2 linked regions of the Notamacropus eugenii genome follow. The protein of the gene in region 2 purifies or fractionates together with the protein of the main gene of each other region. This does not show direct contact. Links are inferred from orthologs where the notes say so. Each region holds a gene or a part of one and is shown on either strand. Other genes may lie near its edges.

The links. Proteins that work in one complex are often made in the same cells at the same time.
Region 1: the proteins of YAP1 (region 2) and PARP1 purify together in Homo sapiens (affinity purification with mass spectrometry, with the first as the bait; 3 studies listed by BioGRID). This does not show direct contact. The link is inferred for Notamacropus eugenii from reciprocal best matches to the Homo sapiens genes YAP1 and PARP1.

What each region holds. Positions count from the first base shown.
Region 1 is NC_092873.1:409,803,401-409,810,580, reverse strand, and holds the start of PARP1 (poly [ADP-ribose] polymerase 1), read right to left. Parts: upstream 3,008-7,180; 5' UTR 2,765-3,007; coding exon 2,645-2,764; intron 1-2,644. UniProt on the Homo sapiens protein: Poly-ADP-ribosyltransferase that mediates poly-ADP-ribosylation of proteins and plays a key role in DNA repair.
Region 2 is NC_092876.1:154,292,104-154,299,392, reverse strand, and holds the start of YAP1 (transcriptional coactivator YAP1), read left to right. Parts: upstream 1-4,266; 5' UTR 4,267-4,417; coding exon 4,418-4,747; intron 4,748-7,289. UniProt on the Homo sapiens protein: Transcriptional regulator with dual roles as a coactivator and corepressor. Critical downstream regulatory target in the Hippo signaling pathway, crucial for organ size control and tumor suppression by restricting proliferation and promoting apoptosis.

The sequences.
Region 1 (7,180 bases), on a different chromosome or scaffold from region 2:
AAACCATCATCAGATCTAGGGTCAGAGGAATGATTGCTTTCTCTTATTTACTGGCCCTGTCTGAGTTTCCTAATTATTCTGAAGATTTTTTTTGGTCCAATATTCTTCATAAAGTTTTTCCATTTGGACATATTTCCTTTTTAAGATTGGTAGTGCTGGGATTACTTAGAATTATTGAACCTTAGCTCTAGAAAGGTCCCCAGAAATCATCTATGAAGTTCAATGCCTTTCTTTTCCACAGAACGAAACTGAGACAGACCTAAAATTGGCTAAGGCTACAAAGATAGTGACAGGCAGAATACAGTCTGGAACTTGGATCTCTTTACTCCAAACCTAGTGCTCACGCACTATTATTTCTTAAGAGGTCTCCTCCAGGTTTTGATGATTTTAAGGATTCTATAAGTAGAATATGAAGAGACCTAAGAGACCAAGCAGTCCAACCCTTTCTTTTTTACAGCTCAAGTGGCTTGCCTTGGGCCACACAAACAGAAGTGGGTTTGAACCCTAGTTTCCTGACTCTGTAGTCAGAACTTTCCCCACAGTACTGCTGCCTAATTAAAAGACAAAGCTAAGACCCATGAACCAATCAGCACACAGGATTGTGTATTTTTAGGTCACAGGTGATGATGTGCTACTTCTAGGGTAAATGAATAAGGGTTGGTGTTAGAGGATGGCTCCAAGGAAACAGATGGGTAGGATTTAGAGAGGGGAAGAGATCGGGGCACAAGAATGAAAGGGAGAGGGCTAGTTGTAGGAGATCCGGATCTCGCCCACTTATGTTGTTGTTCGGTGGGTTCTCTTCACGACCCCATTTTGGGGTTTTCTTGGCAGACACTGGAGCGGTTTGCCATTTCCTTCTCTAGCTCATTTTACAGATGTGGAAACTGAGGCAAACAGGGTGAAATGACTTGCCCAGGGTGTCTTGAGGCCAAATTTGAACTCAGTAAGACGAGTCTTCCTGACTCCAGACATGGTACTCCCACTTCCACACCCAGCTGAGCACTCTGTGATGAGGATGAGGATGGTGAGCTCCTTGTTTTGAACTAAATGTTCAAGGGACCTGATCCAAACTAAGAAAGATGAGGAGATGGGAGAATGGCAGTGGCAGCCTGGGGAAGACTTGGAAAAAGAGTAACTTACAAGTGAAATTTAATGAGTTAAACGTCCTTCACCCTCCCAGAAGAATCAGACATAACTGGGTGTGCACTCAAGGCCTTCCCCTCAGTTCCATCTTCTATTAGAAAAACTCCTGCAAGTCATGTTTCCAGTCTCAAATATCAACACCTTGCGGTCCCAGAAGCCCGTTTTGGAACAACGATGGCCCAACGGGGCTCTGTGGTGGGAATTTTAACCCCTTCACCAACGAGTTCCAGCGCAGAGCTGGGGGCAGGCATCTCTGTGTGTCCTAAAAAAAGTCTGAAAATTCTATCCCTAAGGTGCATTTCCGAAGTCCGGGGCTGTGTCGTTTACCACGAAATATCTACGTGCCGAGAGCTGCCATTTCCCAGCATTAAAACGTGCACGTCCATTAAGCGAATTTTTTTTTTATTAATTTTTTTATTTTTTTAATGTTTAACAATCACTGCCATACAATTGCGATTTTATCCCTCCCCACCCACCCCCCACTACCTCCCTCCCTCCCCACGACTGCATACAATTCTGTATAGATTCTACATATACTTTCCTATTGAGTATATTTTCACTATAGTCATGCTATGTAGTCAGACTAAGATAAATGAAAGAATCCATATAACAAATCAGAACATGATACACAAACAGATACACATACACAAACATGATCTGCTACATTATGTGAGTGACTTCCATTAAGCGAATTTTTTAAAAAAACATCTCTTGCGGACAGCTGCTCATCTGCTTGCCCGACCTCAGCCAAAGCCCAAGGAATATGGCAGCGGGAAAATCAGAGCCCTCCAGGGGACAATTTTAAAGGACGGAAAATGAGGCCACTCGGCCTTTATTTTTTCTTTTTCCCGTCCTTCCTATCTGAGGATCCCACGGGTGATGCTCACTTTTGGACCATTCCTCCACCGCGTGGGGACGAGATAACATCGGGGAGGTGGGCCCCCAGCCGGTCTCGGTACCCAAGCCCCCCGCCCCGAGCAGCTGCGGAGCCCGCCGTCCACGCGGCCTGCCGAGCCCGCAGAAAGGGCTCCTAACGGACCCCAGCTGGCTTCTTCCCGAGGCCCAGCCTTTGCTGCCGGGGTCCGCAAAACCTCCTCGGCAGGCCCGGAGACGCGCCGGCGCCTACCCCATTCCCGGGGCCTAACAGGATCTTCTCCGAGAAGATGGTTATCGTTTTTAAAAAGGCCAAAAGAAAAGTTTAGGGACCTCCCTAGGTGGGGGAGGAGCAGCCCCGACCCGGAGCTAGGCAAGTGTACACAAAGCGGCCCGGCCCAGCCGGAGGGGGAGGGGTGGGGGGGGTCGCGAAAACCCGGCAGGGGGTAGAGCGCAAGGCCAAGGGCGCCCCGCCCCCACCCCGGCTGCAGGATCGAAGCCTCCTGGGAATGAAGGCGGGGGGAGGGGAGGGAGGGGAGCGGGGGGAGGGCCCGGAGAGCTCCGGCTCACTTTCCCCAGGCCCCGCCGGAGAGGCCACCCAAGGGGCTTCCCGGGTCGGTCCTCCTACCTGCACCATGATGGCCAGACGGAGCGAGTCCTTGGCGATGCTCTCGCCGCATTTCTTGCAGGAGGCGCGCCCGCTCTTTGCGTACTCGGCCCGGTAGGGCTTGTCCGCCGGCTCCGCCATCCTCCCACCGCCTTCTCCTTCCTTCTGTCCTCGGAACGCGTGGAACGGCGGCGCACCACCGAGACTGGCCGTGAGCGTCGGGAGGGGGAGCCCCTGGTCCCCACTTACGCCGCGTGCCGCCTCGCCTCCGCCTCTCGCGCGCCTAGCTTTCTCTCCCGCCCACCGCGGGCGGCCCAGGGAAGTGGGCTTTGGAGTGAGCGCCGAGAGCCCTGCGCGCGCCGCGCCGCTCTCCCGAGATAGATTACTAATGCCTGCGCTTGGAGAGGGGTGGTGGGGAGGAGGCGCGAAGGGGAAAACCCCTCCCTGGGAGGTAGGCGCCTTTCGGGTGGGTGTGGCGCGAGCTGGCCCGAGAGCGTAAGGCGCCTCCTGGCGGGGAGACCCGGCATCGCCAGTCTGCCGAGCGATTCAACTCCGTTAACCTTTGTCAAGTACCGACTACAGCTAGTTTACCGAGACCGGAGGCTGCGGGACCCTGGGCGAGTCCCTTGCTTTTTCAGAGCTCTAGGAAACTGGGGCTACCATCCCCCTCCCGCCGATGTATTTTTTTCTCTTGTTTGGGCACAGCTGTTTGCATCTTTTTGAGAGCAGATATAAGGGTTTTGTTCGCTTGGGTTATTTTTTTTTTGCCTTTCTTCGTATCCCCGCTGCTTTGCAGGGTCTGGTGGTTTTCAGTCGCGTCCGACTCTTCATAACTTCATTTGGGGTTTTCTTAGGAAAGAGGAAACTGAGGCAAACAGGGTTAAGTGACTTCCCCAGGGCTATACAGCTGGCAAGTGTCTGGGGCTGGACGTGAACTCATCTCCTCTGGACTCCAGGGCCCCGCTCTATTCATTAGCCCACCTAGCTGTCCTTGCAAGTAAATACATGCTCCTGGACTTCTCCGCAGGTTCAGACCAGTCCCCCCGGACTAGGGAGGAAACAGACAAAGGCTTACGTAAATACTTGGACCTGGCCCCCTCCCAGCTCAGCCCAGAAAGGAGAAGACCTCGCTGATGGATCTGCATGATGTAATGTGGTGTTGGTTCTTAAAAAGGATCAGTGACATCACCGGGTGACGTCTTGCCTCTTTGATGAACTGGATTTAAGTGAGCTACCAACTCAGCCTTACTCTTTCTTCCTTAAGAAGACGTGTGTGTGTGTGTGTGTGTGTGTGTGTGTGTGGTGTTCCCGATATTGATAGAGGTGATTTCCTCACCCTGGACTTCATTTAGGACTTCAGTCCTTCTCTGGGTGGGAGCCGGAAAGGGAGAAGGGAGGGTGAGGAGGATATACAAAGTTTACATAAGATCCTACCTGCACTTTATCTGGGTGAAAGTGGGGGTTGGCTACGTAGATGCCTCACTTGAGTTTCATAGCAACCAGATGCCCTTTATTGCTACTGTTGCTCTGTTGATTATCTCCAATTTATCCTATATGTATCTTGTTTGTATATAGCTTGTATATTGTCTCCCCCATTAGACAGTGAGCTCCTAGAGGGCAGGGACCGTCTTTTGTCTTTAATTTGTATCCCAACACTGGGATACATTTAGCTATGGGGTGTCCCGGGTCTGTCCCCGGGACCTTCGAGTGAGAATCTCCCTTCGGTGGGCACCGCTTCGGACGTCTCCGGACCTACCCCGGGGGACACGGCGGCAGGCAATAATCAGGCAATGCGCAGGAGGTTCATAGCTTTATTGCATGGAGGAGTCCCACGAGCAGTTCAGGGCGTTGTCTTATATAGGGAGGTTCTTCCGGGCTGCCATCCTAACCCGCCCCGAGGGCGAGGCCTACCACCCGATTGGATCCAGCCCACCCGACCAATCCCGTGGGCTCACAACTCCTCTATGGGAGCCGTGTCTCCCTCGGATTGGTGGGCTGCCACTCCCGGGGAGGCCCCTATCCGCCCAGGCGCCTAGGACCGACCCCCGTCAATGGGGGAGGAGAGGAGGAAGGAAAAAAGGGGAAAAAAGTTTAAACGATAACTTTATTATATATTTAAAAGGAATAGGAAGTCGTACTTAATAGATTTCAGTTTCATGTGCCATCATCTTTTTTCTTCTATGTTATGGAAATACTTGTTTCATTTCATAAATTAAAAATAAATAAAATTTTAAAAATTAATGCTGTTTGATTAATAGTAAGATTATCTGAAGTTGTGACTTGCGCACCCACAATCGCATATGTCTCGACAGAAATGAGATCTGAATACAGGTTTTATTGATCCCAAATCTATTGTTTGATTCCCTACACCAGGCTGTTAAAACCTTGATTGATTTTCCTAGAATAAAAATGCATTATTCCTTTGTTAGCTTTTCTACCCTCCTTTTGTGTATGATGCAAGAATATTGAATGTCGAAAAAATAGAAAAATTGTACACATTTTAAGTTTATTTTGATAATTCTTTGTCTCTGAGATCAAAGATGAAGTGGGAACATCTTATTATCAAGAAATTTACCATCTGTTTGGGAAGGTAGTTCATAAGTGCACTGCCAGGGAGAATGTGAAAAGTGCAAAAGGGAGATCAAAACTGCTTTGAGAAATTTAAAGTGAGAGAGATTCTGTCTAGTTGGGAAGAGTCAGGGAAGTTTCAGGCCCGGGAGATGAACCTCGAAGGAAGAAGATTCCCTCAAGTAGGATGAGGGAATCAGCACTTGCGGGGAGTAGCCCTGGAATCAGGAGGACCTGAGTTCAAACTGGGCTTCAGACACTTACTAGTTCTGTGATCCTGGACAAGTCACTTCACCCTGATTGCCTCCAAAAAGAAAAAAAGAAAGAGAATGGGAATGGGGGGGAGGCGATCTATTCTTGGCAGCGTGAACAAATATATAGAGAAGCAAGAGGTCAGGAAACAGTGAATAGTACCATATAACTAGACCAGGAATGGGGAGGCTACACGTGTCCCTCTAGGTTCTCAAGTGCAGCCTTTTGACTGAATCCAAACATCACAGAACAAATCCTTTTATTAAGGATTAGTAAATAATAAATACTTAGAGGGCCACATGTGGCCTCAAGGCCACAGGTTCCCCACCCCTGGTCTAGCCTGTAGAATATGCAAAGACAGTAGAGTGAGATAATCTTTCAAATACAGGTTATAGCTGCTCTGTAAGGGGAGGTAGGGGAGGCTTAACAAGCTAAGACGTTTTGACTTTATTTGAAGGCAATGGGGAGCCACTGAACTATTATCATCTTCAAGTTAAGGGATGGTAAGGACCTAAATAAGGAAAAGTTGGATGGTGTGGAAATCTGTTGTGAATCAACAACTTGTCACAAGGGGAAAGAGCCCTGACTGAGTCAGAGGGTAGGGGTTCACCTTCCACCTCGGATGCTTATTATCTGTGTGTCCTTAGGCAAGTGATTTAATTCTTCTGGATGCTGTTTCCTCATCTGTAAAATGGGAGAATTGGATTGAAGTCTCTTGTAACTCTAATTCTGGGATCAAACCATACCATTTTATAGGTAAGGAAACTGGAGACCTGCCCAGGTCAAACACAATTAATTCAAAATGAAGGATAAAGGGGAGACAAAACAAAAATGGCAGATTGTTAGTCTCTGTGAGTGGATCCAAGGGGAGAAAATTGATGAACATGCTCAGTTTATGATATATCCAGGTGAAGCTATGCTATAGACAGTTAGCCACGTGTTACATCTTAATGTATATTGTGATAGGTGAAAGATGAAATGACTGGGAAAATAAAGGTTTGAGCTTCCAAGCATATTGATTTATTAAGCAATATGTGCCAATTGCCTAACAAATCAGGACCAGGCCTCTTCTTCAGCTCAGGGCTGGACCCTGAATACTAGAGGAAATAGATTTTTATACACTAAAAACAATCAAGTAAGACCAATTAATTAAAAGGAAACAACCAGGATACATTAGGTAATCTGATTTCTAATTGGATGAAAGATTAAGGACTTTCTAAATTGGGAGGGGGAGAGAAAGCAAGTGAAATTCCCTGAAATTAGAAAAAGAGATGTCTTATTCCCCCCAAGTGCTTGCATTCAACCCAAGTAACATGGGAACAATAACTGACTAATTGGTACGGGGCTAGTTTTCAGATAAGACACATGGGTTACATTGAGATGTATAATTGTGAGAAGATTCCTTGCATCCACTAGGCTTTAGATCTGACCGAGTTCTGGTCGGGATAACCTAGGTCCTTTGGGTGATCCAATTTTCCGTCAGGCAGGGCTAGATTCAAACAATGCAATGAAGTTTTCCTACAATTCCCACAATTGAATAAATGTTTTTTCAGAAGATAGAAAATAGACTAGACCAGGGGTGGGGAACCTCTAGACTCAAGTCCACATTTGACCCTCTAGGTCCTCAAGTTTGGCCCTTTGACTGAATCCAAATTTCCCAGAACAAATCCTTTCATTCGGGGAGATTCCTCACCCCTGAGGAACTACTCACCCTCAGTCTAATAATTGAATAGAAAA
Region 2 (7,289 bases):
ATATTAATTTCTTGACAATTTGAATGGCCTGAAAATGGAATCAAATGCATAGACATGAGGTAGGTAGTGAGTTTTCTATTACTGGAGATTTTCAGTTAGGAACTATAATTCTTTCATTTTATTCCTTACAACATCCCTGGAAGGAAGGTGCTGTTATTGTCTTCACTGTACAGATGATGAAACTGAGGTAGTCAGAGGTTAAGTGACTTGCCCAAAGTCATACAGCTAGTAAAGGCCTGAGATAGGATTTGAATGCAGGTCCTGCTGATTTCAACACAACTATCTCACTTCAGACACTTGACACTCACTAGCTGTATGACCTTGGGCAAGTCACTTAACCCCACATTCTGGGTCATCTCCAGTCATCCTGATGAATATCTGGTCACCGGATTCAGATGGCTATGGAGGAGAAGTGAGGCTGGTGACCTGCAGCCCTACCTCACTCAAAACAAAGTCAAGCGCAAGTCATGTCATTATTTCTCTGATGACATGGTCTTCTTTGGCAATGAAGGACGAACACATACACACCCCACCTAGTTGCCTGTCAGTGATGGAAGGCATTCATATTTCAGTAATGGATTAAACTAGATGATTTCTGAAGTCTCTTTCTCTTATGATTCCATAACCATATGATTTTAATATTCATACTTCTTCATGAGAGTTTTAAAAATATCTGCATCCTCTGGAAGAACCTCATTAGGTTCTTTGATATCTTTCTCTGGCATTCTTTTCCTAGTTTAATTTACTTATATCTCTGCTGCTGATTCTGATGCTTATTGGATCAAAATACTGAAATGAGACACTGGGGGAGGGCTATCAGAATCTGTACCTGTGATGCCATCAGTTTAGGGAGTTCCCAGTGTGGAAACTTCCTCTACCATTGTAGATCAGCCACTCATTTGTAATTTATAGTTTTAGGGAGCTGCCTGGAGACTGGGAGATAAGTAGCTTGTCCATCATCATGGAATCAGTCTTATAGATTTAGAGTTAAAGAGGATCTCAGAGGACATCTACTCTAGCGCCAACAATTTACAGATGAATAACTAAAGCACAAAGATTTTAAGTAATTTGCTCAGGGTCTCACAAGCAGTAAATGGTAAAGCCAAGATGAAAGGCCACACCTTCATTTTAAATTCAATAGTTCTCTCTTTCCTTACATATTCAGTGAGAAAATGGGCTTAAACTACAGTGGTAAATAGAACATATGTAGAGGATGCATGTGGCAAAGAGTTAATTCATAGTTCCTGGTTACTGAGTTCTTTTTCCCTTTATGGAATCTCCAAGAAATTTCCTTTAGGTCTTTGTTGAGTTCCAAGTTTGTGTTTTGGTAGAGTCCATAGCCTTTGTTTCTTTTTGCCCCTAATGGGGCATGATTTCTGAAGTTGACTTTCTTAACTGGTCTGTCCTTCTACATCCATCTGCAGGTGCTTCCACTGTCATCATCCTTTGCTATCACCTCTGATGGACCTTGTCATCAACTTTATGAGGTCCACTGGGACCTCAGATGGTTCTGAACCTTCCAAGGTCCCAAGGCTGTAACCTGGTCAATTCTGTCTTAGGACACATACATTCACCAAGATTAGGGAAGAAGAAACACAAAAGGAAGAGCAGCCATGAACTCACTATCACATGGCCAGGTGGGGGAATATACCTTGCTGCCATTCCAGTACAAGGCAGCTCTCAGCAGATTACTCCTTTTGTATACACATTCACTTCTGACTCAAACACTCATGAGTCATCAGTCCTTCTGGCTCCTCAGTCAGTCAGAAGACTTTTTGTCACCACACAGTTTACTCAGTCACTCATAGCTACAAGTAGTACCCTCAAACTTTAGAAACAGACAGAAAATATGCTTTAAGGACTGAATTCTGTCAGGAAATATCCACATCTCTCACAAGGACTTGGATTTACAGACATACACATACGTACAGTAAATTAACAAATTAATCTTTCTGGGAATCAGCTTCAACTCTCCCCATTACTGTTAAGCCATCCCATCCTCCTAGTCACCCAAGCTCACAACCTTGGTGACATATTCAACTGCTCTCTCAAAATGTATCCCACATATCCAAATCTGTTCTCAAGTCTTGTTTCTATCTTCACAATATCTCTCTTAGAGTCCCCTTCTCTTCACTCACACAATGCTCTGGAGCAGGTCCTTTTCTGCTCAGCCTGGGCTAGCTACTTCAATAGCTTGCTGACTAGTCTCAAGTCAGTCCTCATTCCACTCTTTCTTCCACTCAGATGTCAAATGGATCTTTCTAAAAGAGCAGATCAGACTCTGTCATCCTCTCCCTTTAATAAAACTCCAATGCTTCTCTGTTATATTCAGGATCAAATAGAAAGTCCTCTGTTTGGTTTTTTTAAAGCTCCTCATAACCCAGTCCTTTTTTACCTTTCCAGTTTCCTTTCATTTTATTCTCTATTAACTCTATGATCCAGTGACACATCCCTTCCCCTACTTGGCTGTTTCTTCACCTGACTTGGTACCCTTCCCCAAGCTATCCTCCATTTCTGGAATACTCTGCCTCCTGCTTTCTTTCAAGACTCAGCTTAAAGCCCACCTCCTAGAAGAAGCTTTTCCCATGTCTCCTTTCCATCCCCCCCTTCCCTCTGAGGTTCCCTTTAGTCTGTATACATCTAGTATGTACAGCTGTTTACACGTTAGCTTCACAAGAAGGTGAGGGTTTTTTGTTTTGTTGCCCTTGTGTCCTCAGATCTTAACACAGTGTTTGGCATATAGTAAATATTTAATTAATGCTTGTTGACTGACTGCCTGACTCATCTAAAAAAGGAGCACGCACAATGACCTAGATGGCCTGAGGTCCTGGGAGTTCTAAATCTAGGATCTTACAATTATTCTCTGCCTCTCATTTATATCTTGGGAAAACAGATTTTAAAAAAAACAACTCATTTCTTTAAAGCACTTCCAGACATTGTTTCCCCACAGATTATGCCACAACCACACTGTAGGTTTATTGCATGGGGAATAGTTACAAAAAACTATACAATGTAGCGACTTTTACAATAAAGCGTTTTATAACAATGTCACAGGTAGGGTTAAAAAGTTTACACAATCCCTCAATCATAAAGAGAACTCTGCTTTCATCTTCTTTTTTTTCCAGAAAAAGTAGCTTTTTAGAAGTTGAACTGAAGTTCCATAAGCAAAGGGTACATAACTTCTTCAATAAGCATGTAAGCACCCCCCAAACTACTTTTTCCCCCTTCAATAGATTATCCAGATAATTTTCTTAATCTATAACTTCCTTCTCTAAGGCGTGTAGACACAAGTTAGGGAAAGGCAGTCAGTGAACATAGGAAAATTCAGTATTTTTGTTTATAAATGACCTTTACTCAAAACGTGGAAGTATCCATAAGGACAACCTAGTGCCAGCCTGGCCTGTTTTATGAGTAGCAGCAGTGATCGCTTCTAGACTCGGGGCTGCTGCATTAACTTTTTAATGCACGAAGGGCTCGGAATCAGGGCAGTTCTGGGGCTCCTAGCACTTGAGTGATTGTACAAAAGCAAAGCGAACACCGTCAGTAAGAAGAAGGGCTGCGTGCTGGAGGGGAAGAAGCGGAAGCGGGTGGTCTGGGGGAGCGGACCGCACCAGGCACCCGAGGATAGCCGGGAGCTGAGAGTAACCTTAATCCCTGGAGGGAAGGGGACCGAACCTAAACGCAGACCTGGCCCTTCCACCGCAGCAGCGCCGAGAAGCGACGGCCCGAGTTTCTGTCCCTTTAAGCAACCGGGGAGGATTAGGGTGAGGGGGAGATCTCCGTGGCTTGGTGGTCACGTGAAGCAGGGAGAGAAGTTGGAGGTCCCGGAGGTGGCTGGGAAGGAGGAACTTCGGGGGAAAGTTTTTTTTTCTTTTTCTTTCTTTCTCTCTCTCCCCCCCTCCCTGGGCGCGGATTCGGGGCGGGCGGGCGCGCAGAGGCAGGAGGAGGCGGAGTCGGCGGCCGGCTCGGGAGGGCCGTTCTCCCAAACTTTAGTTTTGGTGTCCGCCGAGAGTTTGGGTCTCAGTCGGGCGCAGCCGCCGCCGGGAAAAGAAAGGAAGGGAGGGAGGAAACTGAGGGAGAGAGAAAGAGGAGAAAGGGACGAACGAGCCTGAATTCCGCAGAGGGAGTTGAGGGAGAAAAGTTTTCCGGCGGCTGAGCCACTCCCGAAACTTGGGAGCGGCGTCCGGGGAACAGTCCGGGGGCCCCGTGGGGGGGGGGGGGGGCAGAGGGGATGCGGCCCTGGCCCGCGGACCCCTAGCTCGGAGACCCGGAGAAGGAGGAAGGAGAGGAGGCCAGCCCAGCCGCCTGCGCCTGCGGGGCCCCCCTCTCATTCTAGTTGCGGGTCCGAGGCTGTCCCGGACGGGCGGAGCCCTCCCCTCTCCGGGTTAGGGGGTGGGAAGCTCAGGGTGGGAGAGCCATGGATCCGGGCCAGCAGCCGCCGCAGCCGCCCTCCCAGGGCCAGGGGCCGGCTCCGGCTCAGCCCCCCCAGGGTCAGGGTCAGGGACCCCCGACGGGCCCTGGGCAGCCGGCGCCTCCGGGAGCTCCAGGCTCCCAGGCTGCGCCGCCGCCCCCCGCCGGGCATCAGATCGTGCACGTCCGGGGGGACTCGGAGACCGACCTGGAGGCGCTCTTCAACGCCGTCATGAACCCCAAGACCGCCAATGTGCCCCAGACTGTGCCCATGCGCCTCAGAAAGCTGCCCGACTCCTTCTTTAAGCCCCCGGAGCCCAAATCGCACTCCCGACAGGTAACTTCACGTTCCCTTCCCCCCTCCTTGCCCTTGTGAATCCCTTCTCCCCCCCTCGCGGGGCTCGGGGGACCCAGGGAGTCTGGGCTGGGGGGGCGCCTTGGAAGCATGGCCCTTCTGGCTGGCGGGGACGGGCTGGTCCCGGGGGCTCTCAGGGCACTGAGGAAGGGGGTGGGAAACTGGGACTACGGGGCCCGGGCGGCGGGGGGTGAGGGGAAGTCTCTCCCCGACTGACTTTCCCCCTCCTCCGGCCCCTCCCTGCGGCTGTTCTGGGCTGAGATTTTTTTTTCTCTTCTCCCCCCGATCCCTGTGTTCCCTTGAAGTTCTACACAGTCCTGGGGGTTGTCGATTTGCGGGGCTTTGGGGAGGCCCCCTTTTAACTTCCTTTCCCCCTTTTTTCCCAGGTTGGCGGGAGGAGTTGGGGGGAGGTTTGTGGGGGGCGGGGAGGGGAGGAGAACGAACTGGGCAGGGGGGGGTGGGGGTGGGGAAAAGTTGCTGAGAGCTCTGTGCTACTTGGTGGGCTTGCACAATGCAAGCACCTCCCCTCCCTCCGCACCTTCCTTCCTTCCTTCCTTCCCCTGCTGGACGGAGGGGGAGGGGGAGGGGGAGGGGGAGGGGGGAGTCTGGCATTTCGTGTGTGGGTGAGTTGCCAGCGGCAGCCTAGTTGGTGAAGTTGAGCCCTGGGCCCCCCTCTCCTTGAGGGCCTCTCGGTCCGCATCAGTCTCCTGGGGAGTCAAATAATTGTTCTCTTGTTTTCCAACGTTGATTAGGGGGTGGGGGTAGAACCAGTCCCTTTAGTTTCTTACTCTTTCTCTGGCTCTCCGCTCTATCTGCCCACCCCCCCCCCCCGCCCCCCCCCAGGAAAGCATTTATTTCCGTCCCTCTGAGTTTTAGCACTTTTCCGAGCTACGAAACACAACTTCCACTTCAGAGACTTCCGAGACTTTTCCTGAAAGTTGTTTATGGAGTGAGCCCTGCCCCCCTCCAGCACTTTTGTGCCTTAGATCGTTAGTTCTTTTCACTTTTAAAAAGTTAGTCGCATTAAGTAGTTTTAGAAATTCACTCTCCGGTGAAATGCTTTTGAATGAGCCATTTTTGTTATTTGTGAAAGATTAGAGTTGCTTTTTACAACTTTTTTTTTTTAAACACAGGCAGCCTTTGATAATGCTATACAGGTTGACTCATGAAGTCCAAGTATGATTAAAAGTTAATGTTTGGGAAGCGATGACTAATTCTAGGATAGCCATTGCTTTTTCATTCTTCCTGGGGTTGTGAACATGGCTGCTTTTAAATATTCGCCCCATTTCATTATAATATCGTTTAGGAGATTTTCAAAACCAAAAACCTCGGAGGTGCTTTCTTCTGGAATCAGCTATATGTTAATTAAATTGCGGTGGGTTAAAAAAACACTAAACATCTTTTCATTTTTTGAAATAACTTGTTAGGCAAAAACTTGGCATAGGATTCTTGTTCAAAATCTAATTTGTTTTCCAAATACTGCCTAGTAGTTGGGCTTTGAGTAACTAATTAAAGAATATCTCTCCCACTCCCACTTCCCATTCACATTAGTTTAAAACAGTCTACAAGAATGCAGTAGACATGGGCCTTTTTAGAGTCTAAAGCTCTCTTAAGCCTCTGGACAACTGGGGGGGAGGGGCTTCTGGTAAAGAGAAAGAAGGAAAAAGTAGTTAATAGCTATATCCCTCCGTAGACAAACTGAAAAGTGGGATTGGGGGTGCATCTGTGAATTCGTTATATAGATATACAGGTACGCTTTAGCAAGACTAGCTGACAGTTAAAACGTCCAACAGAAACTATAAAATAGATTCCCCATTTTAGATTTACCCAATAAGAACTATATATTAAAAGGAAATGGAATTGCAAATGGGTATATCTTCCAAATATTATACCAGTATATAAGAGCCAGTTAAATAGATGCATTGGCTTTTCATAATCCAAAATCATTAATTGGACCCCAGGAAGATTAGTAACTATGTGCCCTGAATTTTCCTTTGTCTTGTTGCTACTTAACATACCAAGTTTTCTTGATTAGTTCACACTAATCGTGAATGGAAATACAAAGGCAAGTTCTGATTTAAGGCATATGTTGTATCCTACTAATTTCTTCCTTTCATTGCCCATAGGAATTTAAGAAATTCCAGGCACTGAGTAATCTTTCATAACTTTTACCTGATTGTAATCTCTGATCAGTTTCAAACTGTACAATGTTCCTTGACTAACTAAATTAACATTTTAAACATCCCCTACTTTTAGAACTGGAAGGGATCTTCACGGTCCTCTACTCCAACCCTTCATTCTACAGATGAGGAAACTGAGTCCAGTGAGATTATAACTCAAGCTGTTGTAATGCCCTCATTATTTAGGTGCAGAGATGTGGTAATAACTGTTTAATTTAAATTCAGGTTCAAGTGTGGATTTTTTTAAACTTGTTAATGAATTTTCTGTTGTCAGAAACAATGTTAGCATTGTTTAAAAGTTGTTTTAATTGTGATGCTTTATTGATTGGAATTTGTTCATAATG